Linked DNA regions of Tribolium castaneum. The protein of the gene in region 1 purifies or fractionates together with the protein of each later gene. This does not show direct contact. Links are inferred from orthologs where the notes say so. Each region holds a gene or a part of one and is shown in the gene's direction. Other genes may lie near its edges.

Region 1 (8,603 bases):
TTTCGATTTCGGTTGGCATTTGATCGAAATTTCGTCAAAAGATAATCTGAAAAAACAATTTGGTAGAACATTCTGTTATTTTTACCGTTTTTAACGTCTAAGCATATTTTAAAACCAAATCTTTGGTTTTATGAGATTTTGTTACATCAGATGCGATTTGATCTCGAAATTTTACAAAAAGTAAGTCAAAAAAGTTTAATTAGTTCAATAACAGTGATTTTGTTTTGAAAAATCAGTACATTTTTTTTGTTGGAAACTACATCATTTCTGATGTTTTCGTGTGTTTTATAACGTATGTCAGTTAGAAATAATGATTTCGCAAAATTTTATCCAAAACGGGCGGAGATATTTCAAGTAAAGTTAAAAAATAATATTTAATTTGCCTTTTTACAGTGTTTAACCACGTTTTTGATGTGAAAACCAAGCATTAACAATATCACCAGAAAAACAAAAAACTTGTCGAAAATACATATTAGCTGTTTCGAATCTATAAAAATATGTCGCATTTTAGTTATTAATCATTAGATCTCTATCATTGAAAGTACAAATTGCATTAGCTATCAATATTTTGATATTTTGAAGTGCATGAATAATTTATAACAGCTAATTTTGAGAGAAAATGCGACGTTGCCGTTTTTATATTTTTCACACAGCAATAGTGACTATTAGTTTTTGAACAAAACAATTACTTTGAAAGTGGCGGAATTAGGTCGAACATGATCTTATTTTTTTGTTTGAGTCCATATTTATGTCATCAAAAAATAAACTGACAAAACCTATAAATTGGTAGAAAATGTATTATTTTCATCTTTTTCAATGTCTACCCCTGCTGTTTGAAAACTGTACGTGTATTTTTAGTTTTTTTAATGATATTAATTTAGTCTGGTTTGAAAGTCTCAGCATACACAATTTTCTCCAAAATTGTGTAAAGAATTAAGCCAGAATAACAATAAATTACTGGCAAAAATTGTGGTCTTGTTCTAAATGGTCGGTGAGTTGTGTTAGAAGTTGTATTACTATTTTTACTTTTTTTGATGATTGCGAGTTAGAAGAACTATTATTTCGCAAAATTATTTTGTTAAAAACAGGACGAAGATTTATCAAATTAAGCCAAAAATTATGTTATCAGATAAGTTTGCCTTTTCCCACTGCATAAGCAAGCACGTATTTTAAACAATTACAGAATTAGGTCGGAAGCGATATAATTTTGGTTGTATCACTCGATTTTAGTTGATTGTAATTTCGTCAAAAAATAAAACACAAAACAAAATTTTGTTCAAATTTTGTTTCAACTTTACCAGCCAACATGACCAGAAAATATATGTTGGTTGTTTAGGGCAGGGAGTAATTAAAATTTATAATTTTGCGACGTTTCGATTTTTTATTAAATCTTCATCAGACACTCCCTACCCTAAACAACCAACAAATCTTTCCCGTTTTTATAAGCATATTTTAAAATAAAATTTTTAGTTTACTGATCTTTGATCTAGAAATTTCTGTCGGATTTTGCCGTTTTTTTAAGTATTTTAGCATGTACGGTTTTCTCTCGAAATTAAAACACAATAGTCAATAATAATTAGTTCCTTCAAAGATAGTGGTCAGTCAGTTAAAAATCCAAAATTTCGTTAAAAACTGTTTGAAAATATTTTTTTTGTAATTTGCCGCCCTTTTGATGTTTCAATGGGCATCTTAAAGCACGCAACGTTATCAAGAGCGATGTCATAATAAGATTAAGACTCGTCTTATAAAACTTGTTTTTAATGTACTATAAATTAGGTCAAAAATGATGTTAAATTTGCCTTTTTACAGTGTTTAAGCACGTTTTTGAAGTAAAAACAAAGTTTTTTCAACAGTAGCGCCAAACAAATAACAACTTTGTCAAAAATGAAGTTTTCAAACTAAATTGTCAGTTTTTTTGAGATTTATTTTATTTTATTATTCTTTTTGTCATTTTCGAGCGTTTTGCTAAAAACAAACAGAAAATGAGAAAGTTTTGCCGAACATATTTTAATTATTTTTGCCTTTTTTGATTTTTATTGGCGTGTTTATCTTTAGGTCATTCAACAATTCAATAAAGAGTTTGAAATTGAAATAGGCAAAGAAATCAATAAAAATGAGTTTTTTTAACAAAAAAATTGATTAAAGACATAAAAGCCCATTTAGCTACGTTTTCGTTCCAGAAAAAATGAGCACCCAAAAAGGTAACGCCCAAAGGAGTCGCTCCCAAAAACATCAAAACAAAACCGCCTTCAAAAACACCCTCCACGACACAAGTCAACGCACGAAAAACATTAACAACATCCAAATCAGCGACGTTTGTGTCCGTTGCAAGGAAATAATCGAGTGGAAAATAAAGTACAAAAAATACAAACCGCTCACACAGCCACGAAAATGTGTCAGATGTGATCAGAAAAACGTGAAGAAAGCGTATCATGTGATGTGTACAGACTGTGGAAAAAAATTTGGTGTTTGTACAAAATGTTGTGAAACGAAAGAAGTTATTACAACAAAACCGGACGAAAAGGAACAACTCAAACTGGACAACGAAATGAAGAATTTGCTACATACGCTTCCGGAACGCAAACGGAGGACGTTTTTGAGGTACATGAGCAAAAAAAGTGAGGAAGATTCGACGAATGACGAGGAGAGAAAGGAAGATTTGAAAAGCAAACTCAACGCGCTTAAGATTGACGATGACTTGGACGACTTCAGCGATTTTGATGACGTTGATTCGTCGGATGATTAAATTTTGTAATATATTGGTTGTAGAATTTAATTAAAATAATAAAATAAAAGAGCGAATATTTTTATTTGTTGCACCACGTTCTGTCAAAGCGATCTTATTTGTCATTTCGGTTAATTATCTTGTAATAAATTATATGCGTCCTACAGAAATAATGGAAGTGATGACGTTAATTCGTCTAATGAGTAAATTTAATTAGGTATTTGAATTTAATAAAATTTGAGGAATATGTTAATATGTTGCGTTTAAGTTTGGCGCCACTTGTGACATTGACATCTGTCAAAGGGTCAAAGCGCTGTCATTTGTCATTTTGTTAGCGGTGTTATTTATACATTTTGATTCAATTTCTTGTAATAATTAATATGAGTACGAAAGAATCAATGGAAATGGAAGTCGATAATCCGGCTTCTGCTGATGTTGCAAATAATCCGGCGGAAGATTCGGAAAAAAGTGTGATGGCAGCTGGGGCTGTCGGTTCTGTGACTTGTTCATTGCACCCTTTGGTGATAATGAATGTTTCTGAGCACTGGACACGTGAAAAGGCTCAAGAGGGCTCAGTCCAACGAGGTACGACACCATTTACAGTATAGTTAGTTATTTATAATGTTACATTTTAAGTGATTGGGGCTTTGATTGGTAAACAGAAGGGGCGAAACATTGAAATAATGAACTCATTTGAACTGGTATTTAGTGTAATTGGAGGGGATGTTATTATCGACAGGGATTATTACAACATGAAGGAAGAACAATGTAAGTATGTACCGTGTGGTCAACGGAATTTGTAATCACTAATCAGAGTAGGGAAGATTTTTTCTGTATGGTTGGTTGCGTTTGTTGTAATTGAGACTCATTTATTTCTTCAATTTCATTGAATAAGATCTGTTGTAAATTATAATGAAGTTTAGCCAGACTGCAAATTTTTTGTGGGAGGTAGGCAACGTTTAGGGTTACCATCAGATTTTTTTTAGCTTTGGACACCACAATAAAATGACTAACAACAATAACTTACATTCTTATATTATCGTATTATCGTATATAAAATACTCTGGTAATGGCATCTTATTACCTGACTTCTCGTTTGTATTAAGAATTTTTACTTAGTTTAATAAAAATAAATTTATTTTCAAATAAAATATTACAAAACCAAAAAAACATTGCCAATAGTTTTAATAGTATGTACTGATACAAGAAATATAACAAACAGCATTAGTATAAAAAATATTGTAGTAATAATATTGTACAGAGTGCTGTATTTTGGATGTCGGAATAGGAGATCTCCGAAACTAAGAGATTTAGAGAAAAACAAGTGACACATTCTTGGGTCCGTTTTTTGAGAATATAATCTTGGTCTAAACCGCATCTTGCTATCGTTTTTTGTTTTCGACTTATAAACAAAAGTTGACATTTTAGTGTCAACTTTATACAGAAAAAGCGAAATGTATTTTTTTTAATATTTAAAAAGAATGTATTACACATCAAATCAGAAAAAAATTAGCTTTACAAAAATATTACAGCCTCCTATAATTCATATTTAAAAAAATAAAACTTATTACAGCTAAACGAAAGGTTAAAAAAATCGCTGATAACATTTTTAAATTCTCTGTAAAAAGTGCTTGTATAATGTTTGTGTTTCAAATGTGTATCTTTTATAATAAGGAAGATATATATGATTTTTTTTAAGATTTCGTTAAAATGTCAAGTTCTGTTGATAAGTCGAAAACAAAAGATGATAGCGGGATGCGGTTGACCAAAATTATTTTTTAAAAAAACGGACCAGAAAATGTGTCACTTGTTTTTCTCTAAATCTCTTAGTTTTGGAGTTCCCCTATTCCGACATCTAAAATGCAGCAGCCTGTACAATGAGTGTTAGAATGATTCACATCTAATCATCTGTGAATTTCTCATGTAAAAGAACATATAACTAATGATAGGCATTTAGACATTGAATATTAACATTCTGTATTTATTATTTCAAAGTTAACTAGATGAGAATCATTTAAAAACACATTGTATAAACAGTAAACCACCTTTCTGCATCATTTTTTTTGCAAAACTATCCGGTATCCTGTTTGCAAAATGTAAATTCAATTTTTAGAAGTTGTATATCTACATTTTTCCAATTCACTCCAAGTTTTTTTTAATATTCAAAGTATTTGTTGGAAACAACTAGATAGTTTCGAATTCAGAAAAATTACAGATGGAATTAAGCGTTCTATCGCAGAGTTTTTAAAATTGGTCGTTAATTTTAATTTTAGATACAACAAAATTTAAATTACCCTAAGAAAACTGGACATTTATTACAAATTAACATTTGATCCGGATACCGGACATATCGTCTAATATCCGGATTGTATTGAGTGAAAACCGGACAGGTGGCAACTCTAACAAGGTTGCTATAAACTGTAAAGTATGGATACAGTAGCTGAAAATTTTATAAACAGTAAAGTTCATGTAAATGCGGAATAATATTTTTCTGACTCCTGTGAGTTCGCAGTAAAGCGATGGCAGTCCATTTACCGAATACGGTGTATATATTTTTTCATTTTTTTTTTTATTAATTTTTCTCAAGTTTTGCGCTTAGTTATGACAATTATTCGCCTTTCAAGTTAAGACCTTTGGTTTTTCTGGTTGTTAATTGTGAAATGCTGCTTTGCCATATAGCGGGAAATTTAAATGTAATTTTTTTGAAAAGGTACAAACGTTTTTTGTCTGTTTGACACTTTTAATAGATCTTTTATGGTACTCTAGCTGCCAAAATCAAATTTCGCAAGGGAGTGGTTCACCAGAGAGCGCAGAGATCTTGGCTTGAAAGGTGAATACAAATAATAAAAATAAGAAAACTACTCTTATTGTAAATTCAAACACTAGAAAACACAAAAATTGTTTGTTAACAATCTATTGCAGTCAAGCAGGTGTTCAGTGACATGGATTTCATTGGTTGGTACACCACCGGAGACATCCCCAACACCACTGACATTAAAATCCATAAGCAAATATGCGACATTAATGAATCTCCAATTTTGCTTAAATTAAATCCCTACGACAAAAACATTGATGTTCGTACACAGGCTGCATTTTAAGTGTTAGTTTTAACATAATTATTTTAGCATTTGCCGGTTGCTCTTTACGAGTCTGTAATTGATTTGATTGGGGGCGAAGCAACAATGTTATTTGTTAATTTGTCTTATACTCTGGCAACCGAAGAAGCAGAAAGAATTGGAGTAGATCATGTGGCGAGAATGTCTTCAACGGACTCAGGAGAAAGCTCTCTTGTTGCAGAGCATTTGACAGCGCAACACAGTGCTATCAAAATGTTGCATTCTAGAGTTAGGCTGGTTTTAGAGTATATGAAAGCTGTACAAAGTGGACAGTTGCCTACAAATCACGAGATTTTACGAGAGGCTTATTCGTTGTGTCACCGATTACCTGTTATACAAAGTGCAAGGTTTCGACAAGATTTTTATAATGTAAGTATTTTTTGCACACGTAGTTTTTAGTTATCTGGAAAGCAATTTTCCACATTTTTGGCCGCGACAACTGTCATTGACATGTTTGCTCGTCGAAATATGAATTTATCGAAGAACTGTCGTCGGCCAAAAAGTTTTGTACGTTAGGTATTTTACAGCGTTCAGTTTTTGTCAATATTAAAACTTCACGCTGTGAAATTAAACCTATCGCACGTATAATGTAAATAAATAACTATTGTTGTACTTACTGTCACGTGTTTTTACAGCAATGCAACGATGTGGGCCTTATGACGTATTTAGGGACTTTAACAAAGGGCTGTAATGATCTCAACCAGTTTGTGAACAAATTCAACATTTTGTATGACAGACAAGGACTGGGCAGGAGGATGAGAGGAATTTTCTTTTAATTCGTAAAAAAAGCAATTTTATTTATAACCCTCAGTTCTGTATTAAAGTTTCTATTAAACAATCCTTCCATATTACAAATTGTCTTTTATTGTATTTTGCGGCAATTTTTATCAAAAGAGCTTATAAAAGGCAATGATACTTGTATAAAAATTTTGGGAAGACTACAGTTTGTAATTTCTTCTTCACTTGAGTGGTGATTGTGTGCGGTACAGAGAGATGTTTGTGATTTTTATCACAGAAGCAATTTTTAAATAACTGTTATTAACACAACACGGTGAATACACAAAAAATCTCCCTGTTTTTACAAAATATTTGCTAACTGCTGCTTCTAAACCCCACATTAGTATAGAAGTGGTTTTTTTACACAATGATAATCTGTTAGTTCCTCTCCAACAAAAATATTTTCAAGATGGCGGCCCTTTGGCTTTATCGGAAAATCATATGTATACAGGGTGTCTCAAAATTGACGCCCGTGCTTTTAGGGTTTGCTTCAGAAAACTAAAACAAATCGAAAGCTGGAAAATTGTCTGATTGTCCTTCGTTATCGAGTTATTGATAAGAAACTAAAATTTAGATATTAAATTTTATTAAAAGCGAATTTACTAAATTTGTTGTCACAAAATAAGCTACAATGCGATTTAGAAACTTTTCCGTATATGCCCTAGCCTCTGCAGCGGCATTGCCATAATACACACCTGTAACCGAGCTTTTAACAATCGACAAATCTCGAATGTAATAATGTAGTAGTATCGTATCATTTTAAACATACAAAACCGAAAGAAATTAATAATACTCCTCACTAGACAGAGTGATTCAAAGAATTTTAACATCGCTAACGTCAACTAATGAATTATGTTCCACAAATAATTGGTAAGACATAATAAGCTTATTATTTACATTTTTCTCAATAACTCGAAAACTAAAGGCAATTGGATTTTTTTTTACTCTTAACTTTCGATTTGTTAATACAATCTAGGTAGTTAATACCTAATACTAGGTAGTTAATACTACCTAAGTCAAATTCCCAGCGCACGGTCGTCAATTTTGAGACATTCTGTATATGTTATTTAAATATTTATTTTAAATGGAAAACTGACTATTGCACTTTTGGATTACGGATGAAGTTTTTATCAGCTATATCTATACCTCAGTTTAGCCGTTCTTGAGATATTTACACTTTTTAAAATTTTGTTTGGAACTACACCAGTCCACTTCAGAAATTCCTTTTTTAAAATTTTGCATTTTGATATTGCAAACTGATGAAAAAAATCGGAATGTTTGAGAAAACTCTGATATGAACAAATGAATGGTTCAGTTAATTCAATTTCTTTTAAAAACTATAAGGTTTTTTAACAATAGCTTATTATTAATCATACAATAATCTACGATATCCGAAAATTTTAGTTCAAATGGTGGTTTAAAACATCTAAAAATAATAATTCTTTGAAACCTATCAAAGTCAAAAACGAACAATTTTTAATTTAGAAAATTGTCAGATTTTGAGAGTAGTTTTTGGCGTAAACGTCTAGTCTGGTAGAACTTTATTAAAAAGTTCACATTGGAAAAAAAATTTGAAAAATTTCTTTCCTAATAGAGAGACACCGCCATTTAAATTTATTTTATTTTATACAATGTGTTCAAGAATAGCAATTGAATTCAAATTCAGTGTGCGCTTTGTCAAAATGACTTTTGTAGTTTCTCTGTCAGATCTTTGAATTAGCTTTTTACTCACTTTTTTGCATTTATCGGCAAAGTTGTTACAAGTCTAAGGTTTGTCTTGATTTGTGTTTTATATTTCCGTGATTTTTGTTGTTCTGTATTCTTTAGTTTTTAGATTCGAAACCTTTTGTATTATTTTGACGACTCTGTCACTTTGACGGCTTCACAATTTGAATTAAGCGGCACACTACGTTCAAATTTCATAGGTGACTTGATGAACAATCATTCTTGAACGCACTGTACAAAGCGATCAAAAAGTCCTTCTA
Region 2 (7,369 bases), on another chromosome or scaffold:
CACAATTCTTAGTTTTGTTGAGGTAAACACTTAGAAGATTTTAGTTCAAAACTTGCCTAAAAAGCTTGAAACACACCAAATTTTGTTTTTTCTTTTTTAATAAATATTCGCTTACAAGGGAAATATGTTAAAATAATATTAATTTCGATCTAATTTGGGAAATTTATTTGGAAAAAAGTGTGTTTTTTGATTAAAAAACCTGATAAAAGGCACAGAATAACTCGGATTTTTGGCCTAATGTGGTGATTTTTGGCCTAATGTGGTGATTTTTGGCCTAATGTGGTGATTTTTGGCCTGTTTATTCGAAAAACTTTTGTTTTTCACTCAAAAACGTTCAGTTTGAAAAATTTTGGCCTGGTTTCGTCTTTATTTTGTGTTTTTTTTTGGTTTTGTTTCGCAAAATTTTGAAAACACCTAGAGATTTTTGTTCAAAAACGTGCCTAAAAGAACGAAATCAGGTGAAAATAACATCAATTTCAATCTAATTTGGCGATTTTTCTGTTAGTTATTCGAAAAAGCTTTGTTTTTAAATTAAAAAACGTGGTTAAAGGCTTGGAAAAGGTACAAATAAGTCGATAATTTTGGTCTAATTTGGCGATTTTTGGGGATTTAGTTAACTAAAATTTTTGAAATAATGAATTTCTGACTGAAAAACGAGCGAAATGTTGAAGGAATTCGAAAAAAACGTTATTTTTGACTTTGTTTTTTGCTCAAAAATGAGGTAAACGGTGTAAAACAGGGTAAGATAACATTAGTTTTGATCTAGTTTTGGTGATTTCTTAGTTTATTTATTCGAAAAACATTGTTTCTAACTAAAAACGTACTTGAAAGCTTGAAAATGTCAAAATAATATAATTTTTTGTTCAAAAACTTGCCAAAAAGCCGCGAAATCAACCTAATAATGCTGTTTTAATAAAGTTTCGCCTACAAACGAACTAAATCAAGTTAAAATAACATCAGTTTCAATATAATTTGGTGGTTTTTCTGCAAGTTAATTGGAAAAAAAAAGTTTTTAAGTTAAAATACGTGGTTAGAGGCTTGAAAAAGCACAAAATAACTCGATATTTTTCGTCTAATTTGGTGATTTTTCGAGATTTTGTTAAGTAAAATTTCTGATATAATGGATTTTTGACTAAAAAACGAGCGAAATTTTCGAGGAATGCAAACAGAAAGTCACTTTTGACTTTCTTTTTTGCTCAAAAATGAAGTAAATCGTCTTAAATAGGCCAAGATAACATTAAGTTTGATCTAGTTTTGGTGATTTCTTAGTTTATTTGTTCGAAAAACATTGTTTCTAACTCAAAAACGTACTTGAAAGCTTGAAAATGTCAAAATAATATAATTTTCGGTCTAGTTTCGACTTTATTTTGTTTTTTTTTTTGGTTTTGGTTTAGTGAAATTTTGAAAACACCTAGAAATTTTTGTTCAAAAACTTACCAAAAAGGCGCGAAGTCAACCAAATAATGCTTTTTTAATAAAGTTTCGCCTTCAAACGAACTAAATCAAGTTAAAATAACATCAGTTTCAATATAATTTGGTAGTTTTTCTGCAAGTTAATTGGAAAAAAAATGTTTTTAAGGTAAAATACATGATTAGAGGCTTGAAAAAGCACAAAATAACTCGATATTTTTCATCTAATTTGGTGATTTTTCGAGATTTTGTTAAGTAAAATTTCTGATATAATGGATTTTTGACTAAAAAACGAGCGAAATTTTCGAGGAATGCAAACAGAAAGTCACTTTTGACTTTCTTTTTTGCTCAAAAATGAGGTAAATCGTCTTAAATAGGCTAAGATAACATTAAGTTTGATCTAGTTTTGGTGATTTCTTAGTTTATTTGTTCGAAAAACATTGTTTCTAACTCAAAAACGTACTTGATAGCTTGAAAATGTCAAAATAATATAATTTTCGGTCTAGTTTCGACTTTATTTTGTTTTTTTTTTTGGTTTTGGTTTAGTGAAATTTTGAAAACACCTAGAAATTTTTGTTCAAAAACTTACCAAAAAGGCGCGAAGTCAACCAAATAATGCTTTTTTAATAAAGTTTCGCCTTCAAACGAACTAAATCAAGTTAAAATAACATCAGTTTCAATATAATTTGGTAGTTTTTCTGCAAGTTAATTGGAAAAAAAATGTTTTTAAGGTAAAATACATGATTAGAGGCTTGAAAAAGCACAAAATAACTCGATATTTTTCATCTAATTTGGTGATTTTTCGAGATTTTGTTAAGTAAAATTTCTGATATAATGGATTTTTGACTAAAAAACGAGCGAAATTTTCGAGGAATGCAAACAGAAAGTCACTTTTGACTTTCTTTTTTGCTCAAAAATGAGGTAAATCGTCTTAAATAGGCTAAGATAACATTAAGTTTGATCTAGTTTTGGTGATTTCTTAGTTTATTTGTTCGAAAAACATTGTTTCTAACTCAAAAACGTACTTGATAGCTTGAAAATGTCAAAATAATATAATTTTCGGTCTAGTTTCGACTTTATTTTGTTTTTTTTTTGGTTTTGGTTTAGTGAAATTTTGAAAACACCTAGAAATTTTTGTTCAAAAACTTACCAAAAAGGCGCGAAGTCAACCAAATAATGCTTTTTTAATAAAGTTTCGCCTTCAAACGAACTAAATCAAGTTAAAATAACATCAGTTTCAATATAATTTGGTAGTTTTTCTGCAAGTTAATTGGAAAAAAAATGTTTTTAAGGTAAAATACATGATTAGAGGCTTGAAAAAGCACAAAATAACTCGATATTTTTCATCTAATTTGGTGATTTTTCGAGATTTTGTTAAGTAAAATTTCTGATATAATGGATTTTTGACTAAAAAACGAGCGAAATTTTCGAGGAATGCAAACAGAAAGTCACTTTTGACTTTCTTTTTTGCTCAAAAATGAGGTAAATCGTCTTAAATAGGCTAAGATAACATTAGTTTTGATCTAGTTTTGGTGATTTCTTAGTTTATTTATTCGAAAAACATTGTTTCTAACTCAAAAACGTACTTGATAGCTTGAAAATGTCAAAATAATATAATTTTCGGTCTAGTTTCGACTTTATTTTGGTTTTTTTTTTGGTTTTGGTTTAGCGAAATTTTGAAAACACCTAGAAATTTTTGTTCAAAAACTTACCAAAAAGGCGCGAAATCAACCAAATAATGCTTTTTTAATAAAGTTTCGCCTACAAACGAATTAAATCAAGTTAAAATAACATCAGTTTCAATATAATTTGGTGGTTTTTCTGCAAGTTAATTGGAAAAAAAATTGTTTTTAAGTTAAAATACATGGTTAGAGGCTTGAAAAAGCACAAAATAACTCGATGTTTTTCTTCTAATTTGGTGATTTTTCGAGATTTTGTTAACTAAAGTTTCTGAAATAATGAATTTTTGACTAAAAAACGAGCGAAATTTTCGAGGAATGCAAACAGAAAAGTCACTTTTGGCGTTGTTTTTTGCTCAAAAATGAGGTAAGTCGTCTTAAATAGGCTAAGATAACATTAAGTTTGATCTAATGTGGTGATTTTCTAGCCTTATTATTCGAGAAACCTTTGTTTTAACTCAAAAACGTGCTTAAAAGTTTGAAAATGTCAAAATAATATAGTTTTCAGTCTAGTTTTGAGTATTTCGTATTTTTTATTTTTCATTCAACTTAAAATAACTTAAAAACTCGATCTAATTACGTGATTTTTCCGTCCGTTTATTCGAAAAAACTTTGTTTTAACGCAGAAACGTGCAAAAAATACTCGATTTTCGGCGAAATTTGATGATTTTTTGACTTATTTTGTAAATTAACGACCGAAAAGGGAAAATCATAATATAATTTCCGAACTAGTTGGGTGTTTTTTAAGCGATTGTCGAAATTTTAGTTATAAAATGTACTTAAAGGCTTCAAAAACTTAAAAAAAACTCATTTTGGCGTATTTCTGAAGTGGTCGTTAATGAAATTTTGCGAAATATGTAATTATTTCTGACTTAAAAGTAATCTAAAACTTTGATCAAGCCAAAAAGGCCAAAGCTATCGGTTTAGTTCGTAATTTTTCGCTTTGTTTTTGCAAATCTTGCGTAAAAATAACACCATTACCGACCAATTTTTTTGACAAAATTTCGCCTAAAACGAGTGTTTTTTAAAGCTCTTATTTAACTTGCTTATTGTCTTATCTGTCTGTTTAATTTTTCTGACACAAATTTGCGAGAGTTCGTGTTATTCGAATGTGCTGTAATCTTGCATACATACGTAATTTTGAATGATTTTTATTTTTCTAACAAAATTTTTCACAATAATTGAAAACAGGTGCAGGGCTACAAGAAAAAGGGCCAACTGCAACTGTACCAGGAGTTATTTGAGGAGCCGTTCCTCAAAGAAAGCGGCGAGCATTTTAAACGCGACGCTGCCAAACTTTTGCAAGAGAAAAACGTCTCCCTGTATATGGAGCGCGTCAAGGGACGAATTGAGGAGGAACTGTTACGTGCACGTCGCTTCCTCCACACCAGTTCCCTCCCGAAAGTCTCCCAACGATGTGAAACACACATGGTGGCCGAACATTTGGACTTTTTATACAGCGAATGCGTGGCAATGGTACAGGGTGAGCGCAAAAAGGACCTCTCAAATATGTACGATCTGCTCAAAAGCGTCCAAAATGCAATGGTTGTGCTTGTTGATACCGTTCTGGACCATATTAAGACGCAAGGATTGACGGTTTGTTGCTTTTACACGAGTGGTTTACCGATTTAGGGATTTTTTTATTGTTGTTCTTAGGCTGTTGGTAATATTGATACCGAAAATATTCACATAACGTTCGTCGAAAATATGCTAGCGGTTTATAAAAAATATAAATTGTTGATTCAAGAGGTGTTCAAGTCGGATCAGAATTTTATGGGGGCTTTGGATAAGGCCTGCAGTTCCGTTATTAATCACAAGTTTGGCAAGCCTGTGTGTAAAAGCCCCGAATTTTTGGCCAAGTATTGCGACGCATTGTTGCGCAAGTCGAGTAAAGGGATTAGCGATTCGGAGGTAAGTTTGATTTTTTTTCTTACTTTTACTTAAAAACTTTTATTGTTTTTATTTATTTACTGTTGAAGAACTGATTAATTTTAAATAACTTTGTTGTCAAAAGTTTTATTTTGAGATTATTCGTATTATTTATTATACAGGGTCTCGCAAAAAAGTGCATTAAAAATAAATTATAAATAAATAAATAAAAACACAAATCAATACGAAAAAAAAAACACTCACCTTAGGCATCTACTTCTGCTACCCTTTATAGCAAGCCTCATCTTCATACACGAACTTACTGAAATTAAAAAAAATCTATATAATTATGGTAACAATAAAATTAATCTAAAAATACGAGTAACTGGTTTTATGTAGAAACTGCACTTAAAATAATTGAGAAGATTATGATTTTACTTATTTATTTATTAGATATTGTTGTGAGTCAAGGCTATTTATTTAAGTTAATCCTCAAAAAATAAAAAAATGAAAAAAAAGTTTAATGTACAAACCAATGAAACTAAAATTACAAAAGAAATAAATTAATTATATAAATTAAATGTTTAAACTGCTCATTTAATTATTAATTATTCAAAAATTCCGTGTAATTTTAACCTGGGACGTCATTAATTTAATTTAATGTAATTTTTCTGTAAAAAAATTTTTCAAACTAACCCTTTAATCCGGATCCTTGTAACACGATTTCAGAGATCTATTCCAATTGGCATTCACTATAATTAAAAAATCGCGCACTATTTATTTAAACACAAATTTAAAAGTTAGCAAAATGTTGATTTTTTTAATTTAATTTCTAAGTTTATAAGACGTCCGTACGCGACACTAGCAAGTGACAAACTGATTAAAATAAAACGGCACATCCGTAATAATTGTGTAAGAATATCCGGATAAAACGTCACTAACAAAAAAAATATTATCTGCAAACGTGTGAACAAAGAGATTTGGTTGACTCATTGGTTGTTGTTACGGCAGTTAAAGTTAAATTTTTGAAAATATTCCTTGCTGTAAATTAATCTCCCAACGTTACAAATCCATAAAATTTGGAATTTTAATTTAATTTTTTTAATAATAATAAATAAAAAAAATTGGAAAATCAAATTTTTAAAATTCGATTTTCCTGTTCGTCAGGAAAACTCAAAAAAATTGTTTCCCGCGTTGGTCATGAAAAATAAAAAAAATTGTATACCGCGTTGGTCATGAAAAATAAAAAAAAATGTTTACCTCGTTGGTTATGAAAAAACGATTATTTCCAGGTGGACGAAAAGCTCGCCGAGAGCATAACAATTTTCAAATATATCGACGACAAAGACGTATTTCAAAAATTCTATTCTCGAATGTTGGCCAAACGCCTCATCCACCAACAAACGCAAAGTATGGATGCGGAGGAGGCCATGATCAATCGTTTAAAACAAGCATGCGGTTACGAATTTACAAGTAAATTGCATCGAATGTTTACCGATATGTCAGTGAGTGCGGATCTCAATAATAAATTTAACGCATTTTTGAAACAAGACAACATCGACCTCGGAATTAATTTCAGTATATACGTATTACAAGCAGGGGCGTGGCCATTGGGCCAGACGGTGACCACGCCTTTTACGTATCCTAGACAACTGGAGAAGAGCGTACAAATGGTGAGATGGTACACATGTGGGCGTGGCTTAAAATGATTCTCTTACAGTTTGAAAATTTCTATCATAATAGGTTCAACGGTCGCAAATTGACATGGTTGCATAATTTGTGTCAAGCGGAATTGAAGTTGGGCCATTTGAAAAAATCGTATCTAGTGACAATGCAGACGTTTCAAATGGCCACTTTGTTGCTGTTTGAACACACGGATTCGCTCACTTTTCGCGAAATTAGGGAGAGTTTGCAACTAACCGCCGAACAGTATCACAGATACGCGGCTAGCTTGATTGATTGTAAATTATTGATAGCGGATAGTACGGTAGGTTGGGCATGGGGGCGTGGCCGGAGGCCAAGCCCCCATGATCTTCTCGTTTTAATTGGCTAGTTTAGGATTTGAAACCGGAAACGGTGCTCCGTTTAAACATGGAATATAACAACAAGAGGACGAAGTTCCGGATAAATGCGGCTGTGCAGAAAGAGTCGCCTCAGGAGATTGAACAAACGATGAATTCGGTCGAAGAGGACCGGAAGATGTACTTGCAGGCGGCCATTGTTAGGATTATGAAGTCGAGGAAAATACTCAAACATAACGCTTTGATACAAGAGGTGAGGGCGGGAAAATAGTGAAGGGGTTCTGAATTTTTTTTAGGTTTATGCGCAATCGAAAGTTTCCTTCGCACCGAGTGTTCAGTTGATCAAAAAGTGCATCGAATCTCTCATTGATAAACAGTATATCGAAAGGA

The links. Proteins that work in one complex are often made in the same cells at the same time.
Region 2: the proteins of CSN6 (region 1) and Cul2 purify together in Homo sapiens (affinity purification with mass spectrometry; 5 studies listed by BioGRID and IntAct, counting the BioPlex papers as one, with this or other methods). This does not show direct contact. The link is inferred for Tribolium castaneum from reciprocal best matches to the Homo sapiens genes COPS6 and CUL2.

What each region holds. Positions count from the first base shown.
Region 1 is NC_087398.1:15,418,686-15,427,288, forward strand, and holds CSN6 (COP9 signalosome complex subunit 6), read left to right. Parts: upstream 1-3,019; 5' UTR 3,020-3,105; coding exon 3,106-3,310; intron 3,311-3,361; coding exon 3,362-3,493; intron 3,494-5,647; coding exon 5,648-5,799; intron 5,800-5,850; coding exon 5,851-6,210; intron 6,211-6,476; coding exon 6,477-6,617; 3' UTR 6,618-6,696; downstream 6,697-8,603. Other genes in the region: uncharacterized protein C9orf85 homolog, read left to right, coding at 2,186-2,746. UniProt on the Homo sapiens protein: Component of the COP9 signalosome complex (CSN), a complex involved in various cellular and developmental processes.
Region 2 is NC_087401.1:15,829,908-15,837,276, reverse strand, and holds part of Cul2 (cullin-2), read left to right. Parts: coding exon 1-22; intron 23-4,280; coding exon 4,281-4,685; intron 4,686-4,745; coding exon 4,746-5,000; intron 5,001-6,250; coding exon 6,251-6,631; intron 6,632-6,678; coding exon 6,679-6,945; intron 6,946-7,016; coding exon 7,017-7,232; intron 7,233-7,275; coding exon 7,276-7,369.